2 linked regions of the Xenopus tropicalis genome follow. The protein of the gene in region 1 purifies or fractionates together with the protein of each later gene. This does not show direct contact. Links are inferred from orthologs where the notes say so. Each region holds a gene or a part of one and is shown on either strand. Other genes may lie near its edges.

The links.
Region 2: the proteins of grk6 (region 1) and hsp90ab1 purify together in Homo sapiens (affinity purification with mass spectrometry; 3 studies listed by BioGRID and IntAct, with this or other methods). This does not show direct contact. The link is inferred for Xenopus tropicalis from reciprocal best matches to the Homo sapiens genes GRK6 and HSP90AB1.

The regions. Positions count from the first base shown.
Region 1 is NC_030679.2:45,795,475-45,799,296, reverse strand, and holds part of grk6 (G protein-coupled receptor kinase 6), read right to left. Parts: intron 3,731-3,822; coding exon 3,593-3,730; intron 3,510-3,592; coding exon 3,375-3,509; intron 1-3,374.
Region 2 is NC_030681.2:2,231,410-2,235,070, reverse strand, and holds the end of hsp90ab1 (heat shock protein HSP 90-beta), read left to right. Parts: coding exon 1-146; intron 147-692; coding exon 693-883; intron 884-971; coding exon 972-1,119; intron 1,120-1,257; coding exon 1,258-1,526; intron 1,527-1,616; coding exon 1,617-1,950; intron 1,951-2,068; coding exon 2,069-2,178; 3' UTR 2,179-2,955; downstream 2,956-3,661. UniProt on the Homo sapiens protein: Molecular chaperone that promotes the maturation, structural maintenance and proper regulation of specific target proteins involved for instance in cell cycle control and signal transduction. Undergoes a functional cycle linked to its ATPase activity.

The sequences.
Region 1 (3,822 bases):
ACTGGCTGGGAACATTAGAAACCATGAGAGAGCCGTGAGAGGTCTATTCACAGGAAAGGTCACTAAAGGGGACGTGCTGGTGTCAGCACTCTATGCCCTCACATAAGTCTCTCGCTCATTCTGCTCAGAACCGAAGGAAGGCCGGAGCTGCACTTTATTATAACGATCCAGGAGAAAAAAAATACTTTCCTGTGGTTAAAAGTAACATTTGCTCTATTCCATGTGGGAGAATCAAAGTCTGCTGCAGCAGAGAGTGGCGCAGTGTCTGATACTGTTTGTGTAGGACGCGCGTCAGGTGGCGGCTTTCTTATTAAGGTTCTAGTCATCAGTACATAATTGTGTTCTTAGGAAAACCATTATAGCATGATGTGATAGAAATTGACACAAAACACAAATGTGTTTCCTCTGGATGAAAGAAATTTGGTTTTGGTCAGGTTGTGGTAGAGGGCGCCATTTCCCCATGCAATGCCCGAGTGTGTTCTGTTGCCATGTGGTACCCAAGACTTTATTTGCACAGTTGTAATATTTTCCAATATACTGTGACATTTAGAAAGACTGGAAGGTTGTTTCTTCCTTGTTCTTTTTATTTACTTATCTTCCCGAGCCTATCATAGTGCAGGAGAAGCAATACTCGTTAGGCACTGACAGTGCTTGTCTGTGTGTAACACTGAAGGAAATGCTCTATTTAGATAAAGGTCAACCACATTTTTACAAAGATGCAGACAAACTGTACTGTATTTCTGCTTAGTAACACCTGCCTAGCCACAGGCAAGTATATCACAATAAATTCAAACCAAACCCTTTATATAAAATTTATGCTCCATTCAATTAGGTTTCCAGACTTCCAAGGTTAAAGCCTACCTTTGCTGGCAATTCGTTCAAAAGATTTACAGACATGTGAATGCAGGCCATATCAAATAAGCATTCACATTTCAATCTCCCCCTGACTGGCCTTCAGACTACTTCTAGGTCCCCCTAGAAACCACAATTTCTCCCATATAATATTTAGATTTTCTTTTATCCATTTTTTTTAAAGCAATGCCAAAGTGTTAAAAATTAATAGGTTCTATGTTCTACCACTCAGTAGAACACGCACTAAAAGCAGCAGAGGAAACTCTCCACTGATTTGATAACAGCATTGCAGTAAAGGCTCCAGGCATCAACGAAAGAAGCCCAGTCACAGCCTCTTAGCATCAATCTTGCTTCATATCACCTGCACAGACTCATTTGTTTTCAAATGGTTTACTGGGGTGTCAGGGGGTTTGTGAATCATTGTTAAAAGTGGTATTCCTGTCTATTACAGTCTTGCACCAACCCAAGCTCAACATATATGAAGAATCCCTGTCCATAGCAAGAATGCCCTGTCTGTCCATCCACTTTGAACACAGCAGATCAATAAAAAGCATTAAGGACCTGTGTTTGAAGTGTGTAAGATTTTTGGGCAATCCACCTCAATGCAGGTGTTAACTGATCCAAACCTCCAATATGGGCCTGTACCCAAGAGAGCAAGCATAAACACTGAATGCATTGGACAGACTAAAATCAAACAACTTCTGCATTGCCATCTGATGAGAAGCACAAAAATCCACCACACAATTAAGGCAAATGCAAACGCCTCTGTGTGTAAGAGTCCTTAAAAAAACAATTTTTTTTTCCTCTATTCCCAGCCAAATTGATTAAAAAGGTCCCACTGACATACAATATACCTGTACATTTTAATGAGGTATTTCTATTGAACAAACTGAATTTGGCTTTGCTCCCATGCCCTTCTTATAGTCTTTCCAGTTCATACTGTTCTTTTTAAATGACCAATGGAAAGATTCTACATACACTGAAAAGGCTTTTTGTGTAACAAACCAAAATCTGATATTATGCATGGGCAGAAAAGCAGGGAAAGAACAGAAAAACATTTTACCTGACACATCTGAGATGTGCAACTCTGCAGTTAAAATCCCCAGAACTTAAGGGTTCCTCTCACAATGATGCTCCACCCTGGAGGCAGCTGAGCATACACAAAGATTAGCTGTTAAGATGGCAAATTTGCAAAGACTGAGGCAAAGCACTGCACTGCTGGGAGGATGTAAGGTACCAGTGGGATATTGGGCTGGGCAGTGAGGATACTGACAGGATGCGGGGAAATGAGCAGCCCTCATTAGAACAGATGCACTTATTGCTGTGTAAGGGCAGCTTTGGTAGATGACATGAGATGTTTGGCGGTATTAAAATGGGACTACAGAAAATAGATCTCTGCAAACCTAGAGTACCAGTTTTACTGGAAATTTGGGGTTGCACAAAACTAATGTAGCAAAACACTAGGCTAGACATTAAACTATTTTCCCAGGATTTCCCTTCTTGAGGTTGACATTCATAGCTACATTAAAACACCAGAAAAATGTATATGAATTACTTTGTTTTTGCCCCCTTCTCACTGGTGCCTCAATGTATTGGGCAGTGCTGCATACAGAGGGGTAGCAAGGGAAGCCCTGTGCAAAGCCAGAGGCTACAAGGTGCTGGGAAGAGATGTAATTACAGGTTCCCTTTGCAGCAACGTACTCTTTAACTTGCACCTAATTTATTAATCACACTCAAGGTGCAAAGCTTAGTCTGAACTAACCTTTGCCATTGGCATAAGTGCTCCATGTATCTCTATAGTAATTTTGTACTTGCACCAGTAGCAGTGGTTAATAACCCCTACAAAGAGTGCAATTAAATTGTGCAATAGTACTTTACAAAGCATGTTCAGGATAAGCTGTCTTTTTTTCTTGCTGAGAAGCTATATGATCATTGTTTTACCATAGAAAACAGCAAATAATGAATCTAAAATTCAAGAGAGATTAAAATATATGAGCGGCTTAGTTATTAGTTTTACTTAAACCAAGATACATTGGCTTTAATGGTATACATTCCTTTCATAACTACCCCTTTTTATAATGCCATTTATTACTTATACAGTCTTTAAAAGTGTTCTCCTACTTTATGTGACATTAGAGAAGTGGCACACAGGGCCCAGCAGAAAACAGTGGAGGACCTGCCCCATCTGCATCCCTCCTAAAACTATAGATAAAAAAGTGCACTATTGATGTACAAAGAACAGTGATGGGTGGTCCTGGGAGCCAAAATAGGTCATTTGGCACAAGTCAGAAAATTCCAACAAGTCTTTACAGGTCAACAGTTTGATCTGATCATTGGACTTAAGGCCAAATAATCAGATCTTTTTGATTGTAAGATCTTTTGAAAAAGGGCCCACTTGTTCCCTGTATACTATACTCTATTTATTGCACATCTCTATAGGATATGTTAGTTCTTTATAAATACATGTAAATAATAATCAGCCTTAACTGGAATTCTTTTAGACGAAAGCCCTTTATTATTACCTGTCTGCTAAAGAAACGCTGAAGTAGTCCCTTTTTGGGTTGTGGGGATGGTAGCCCCCTCCAATCCAGGTCAGGTGGTATGCTTCCATCTGTGGGCAGTGCGCTTAGCTCCCAAAAACAGTCTGTATCCACCATCTAAACAAGGCATATATAGATATAGATTCACTGTACACTGACTGAGCAATGATTCCATCCTCCCATGCATGTCTCTTACACACCTCATTCTGCCAGGGAATGCAGATATTGCCTGTGGCAAATTTTCGGTAGAAGTCATTGTCTGTCTGCTCCAGATCAACGCCCTTTACTGTAGAGAACTGCTCTATATCCAAGACATCCTTACAGTAAATAGCTTGAGGCTGAAAATAGATTTCAGATGTTATTACAAATATGACTTTCAGTTGTGCATTAAATATTAACAGTTGACTGTATAATTATTAATGAATTTGTC
Region 2 (3,661 bases), on another chromosome or scaffold:
ACTGGAGTTCCGCGCTCTGCTCTTCATTCCCCGCCGCGCCCCCTTTGATCTGTTTGAGAACAAGAAGAAGAAGAACAACATCAAGCTGTACGTGCGCCGCGTCTTCATCATGGATAGCTGCGACGAGCTGATCCCAGAGTATCTGAGTAAGTACTGGCCCGAAGCTTAGTGGGCCCCCTCCTTCCCCCCCCCCCCATAGGATGGGATGCTGGGTAAAGCCTTCCAATAGTCTGGCATTAGATGCTTCATTAACAGTCTAGCATGTAGATCTTTTGCTTGATGTGGTGACACAGGCAGGCAGGGCCCCACGCACACCCATAGGCACACAGGCAGGCAGGTAAGTGTGTGGGGGGGCAGGGGCAATTAATTGCCTATTGTAGTATTTCAGCCCAAGAATCCTTGTCTCTTACGCACAGGCCTCTTGGTGCACTCGCGTATCTATAAGGGGAAGACACACGGAGCTACTAGTAGCAGCTACAGAAACAGACAATGTTGATCATTTGCTGATAATTGTCTCTACGTGTGTCTAGCAGAAGGAATTCTCAGTATTGTCTATGGCAGGGGATTTGGTAGCTGCTACTAAGCTGCGCACACACACACGTAGGCACACAGGGCCCCACAGATGGATCCTGAATGTAGGACTTTTGGGCAGTCTCTCCCTGTGCCGCCTCTAACTCTTTTCTCTCTTCCAGACTTCATTCGCGGGGTGGTGGATTCTGAGGATCTGCCCTTGAACATTTCCCGTGAGATGCTGCAGCAGAGCAAGATCCTGAAGGTGATCCGCAAGAACATTGTCAAGAAGTGCCTGGAGCTCTTCACCGAGCTGGCCGAGGACAAGGAGAACTACAAGAAGTTTTACGAGGCTTTCTCCAAGAACCTGAAGGTGAGCAGTGCAGGAGGGTGCCCTGGGCTGTAGTGGGCGGAGCTCTTGTTCGTCCCAGTGGCTCTTGCTGACCTACCTCTCCTTGCAGCTCGGCATCCACGAGGATTCTACCAACCGCAAGAAGCTGTCTGAGCTCCTCAGGTACCACACTTCCCAGACAGGCGACGAGATGGCCTCCCTAACAGAGTATGTGTCCCGTATGAAGGAGAACCAGAAAAGCATCTACTACATAACTGGTAAGTGGCCCTTGCAGCAAGATATCCCATTATGGGCTCCCCTGGGAGAGAGGGGTATTCCTCTTCCCCTGGGGTCACTTCTCCGCAGCTCGCTTAGAGGAAGAGTCTGACACGTGACCCCTCTGTTCTGTCTCGCAGGTGAGAGCAAGGACCAGGTGGCCAACTCCGCCTTCGTGGAGCGGGTGAGGAAGCGTGGCTTCGAGGTGGTCTACATGACTGAGCCCATCGACGAGTACTGCGTGCAGCAGCTGAAGGAGTTCGACGGGAAGACGCTGGTGTCTGTGACCAAGGAGGGCCTGGAGCTGCCAGAGGACGAGGAAGAGAAGAAGATGATGGAAGAGAACAAGACCAAATTTGAGAGTTTGTGCAAACTGATGAAGGAAATTCTGGACAAGAAAGTAGAGAAGGTGAGGATGGGGCAGAAGGAAGTAATGTTGCCCCTCCCCTAGTATAGCCTTGTCCTGCTAACCCCCAACCTGCCCCTTGTTACCCCGCAGGTCACCGTGTCCAACAGACTCGTCTCCTCTCCCTGCTGTATCGTCACCAGCACCTACGGCTGGACCGCCAACATGGAGCGCATCATGAAAGCGCAAGCTCTGCGGGACAATTCCACCATGGGCTACATGATGGCTAAGAAGCACTTGGAGATCAACCCCGAGCACCCCATCGTGGAGACCCTGAGGCAGAAAGCGGAAACCGACAAGAACGACAAAGCAGTGAAGGACCTGGTGGTGCTGCTCTTCGAGACCGCGCTGCTGTCATCCGGCTTCTCCCTGGACGACCCCCAGACGCACTCAAACAGGATCTACAGGATGATCAAGCTGGGTCTGGGTAGGTGTCGCTGAGCATTATGGGAATGGCTACCAGAATCCTTCTGCCATAAAGGGGATTTGTATGTAGGGTCCTGAAACCACCACATTTAGGGTTAACTTCCCCTTGTCTCTCTCAGGTATTGATGATGACGATGCAACAGTGGAGGAAACTTCCCCCTCGGTGGCAGACGAGATCCCACCCCTAGAGGGCGACGAAGATGCTTCTCGCATGGAGGAAGTCGACTAATCGGTTTGCTGCCCGCTCGTCCTGCCCCCTCCCACCCGCGTATGTGCACTGTCTGTAACTCGGTAGGGGGGCGACTTCTCCCTTGGACTCTAAATATCACATGATACTGGGGATGGACTTCCCTCCTTATAGAATATATTTGGGGGAGCTTCAAGACTGATGGCTGCTGACTTTAACCCTTTCCTCTGCACCCCCCTTGTTGTGTTCCAGTCTGAGCAGTTAGTTATGTAAGTTATTGTAGCAGTATGGCAGCTAGCTTGGCTTGAGGTAGCCCTGAGTTAGTGGCCCGCTGTTAGCCAGCTGCTGGGGGGGGGGGTCTGTTTGACTCTCTCAATGCACCTTACAGGCCCCCCCTCTAATCCTACCCTCTGCCACTATTGTAATGGGCGTGTCCCTCTGTGCCCCCCCTGAGGCACGGGGGGTACTTACTGGGAAGCTTTAGAGACCCCCCTGCTGCCTTCTCCCATTCACTTGCATGGGGGGGGCGATTGAATGTGCTGGTGTTTGCAAATAGAAACGCCAGGCCAGTCTGGGGGGGTGAGGTACTTCTGCCCAATGCTACCTCAATCTGTAGCACCCCCAAATCTGCTGAGTGGTAGCCCCCATCTCTCTGACTGGAATCTCGTGCCCCCGCCCCCAGGATGTCTTGAATGCTGAGACCCCACCCCCATCCTACACATCTCTCTATCGAGAGCCTCAATACGGAACTTTATTTTATTTTTTGTTGTTGTAAAGTTGAGAAATGTTGCGCAAAATAAAGATCTTTTTACAGTGAAACAGTTTGTCTCCTGTTTATGTGCTGCCGACTGCACCGGATACAATGCTGTGTTACAGGGCTGTTTCCCCAACTATAAACCTTATGTGCAGTAGTTACAGCCTTGGATTTCTATAAGGCTTGGGATACTGGCATGATATTTATGGGACACTTTGTATCTCTAACACTGTTACACAGCAAATAATTCCCTCTGTCATTTATCCTTTTATTCTTCAACCAACAAATGTATTTGTAGCTGTAATATTGGTGTGTAGGCGCCATCTCAGTGCCTTGTGCCCGAGTCTGAGCTTTCAGCCAGCGCTACACATTAGAACTGCTTTCAGCTAACCTATTGTTTCTCCTACTCCCATGTAACTGGAGGAGTCCCAAGCCGGACTTGGATTTCTTACTATTGAGTGCTATTCTGATACCTACTGGGAGCTGCTATCTTGCTCCCTTCCCATTGTTCTGCTGATCGGCTGCTGGGGGGGAGGGGGATATCACTCCAACTTGCAGCGCAGCAGTAAAGTGTGCCTGAAGTTTATCAGAGCACAGCTCCTTGTTACAGCCAGGAGAGGGTGCTGTTCTGAGCATGATTCAGCCTGGCTGCCCCTGCTCATATGAAAATGATAATGCCCCTCCCTGTGCCTTGTTGCCCAAGGCCATTATGTTTGTGCTGCTGGTTTCTTCTTGCCAAGTCCATAAAGCCCTTAGGGTGGGTGTTGTAGG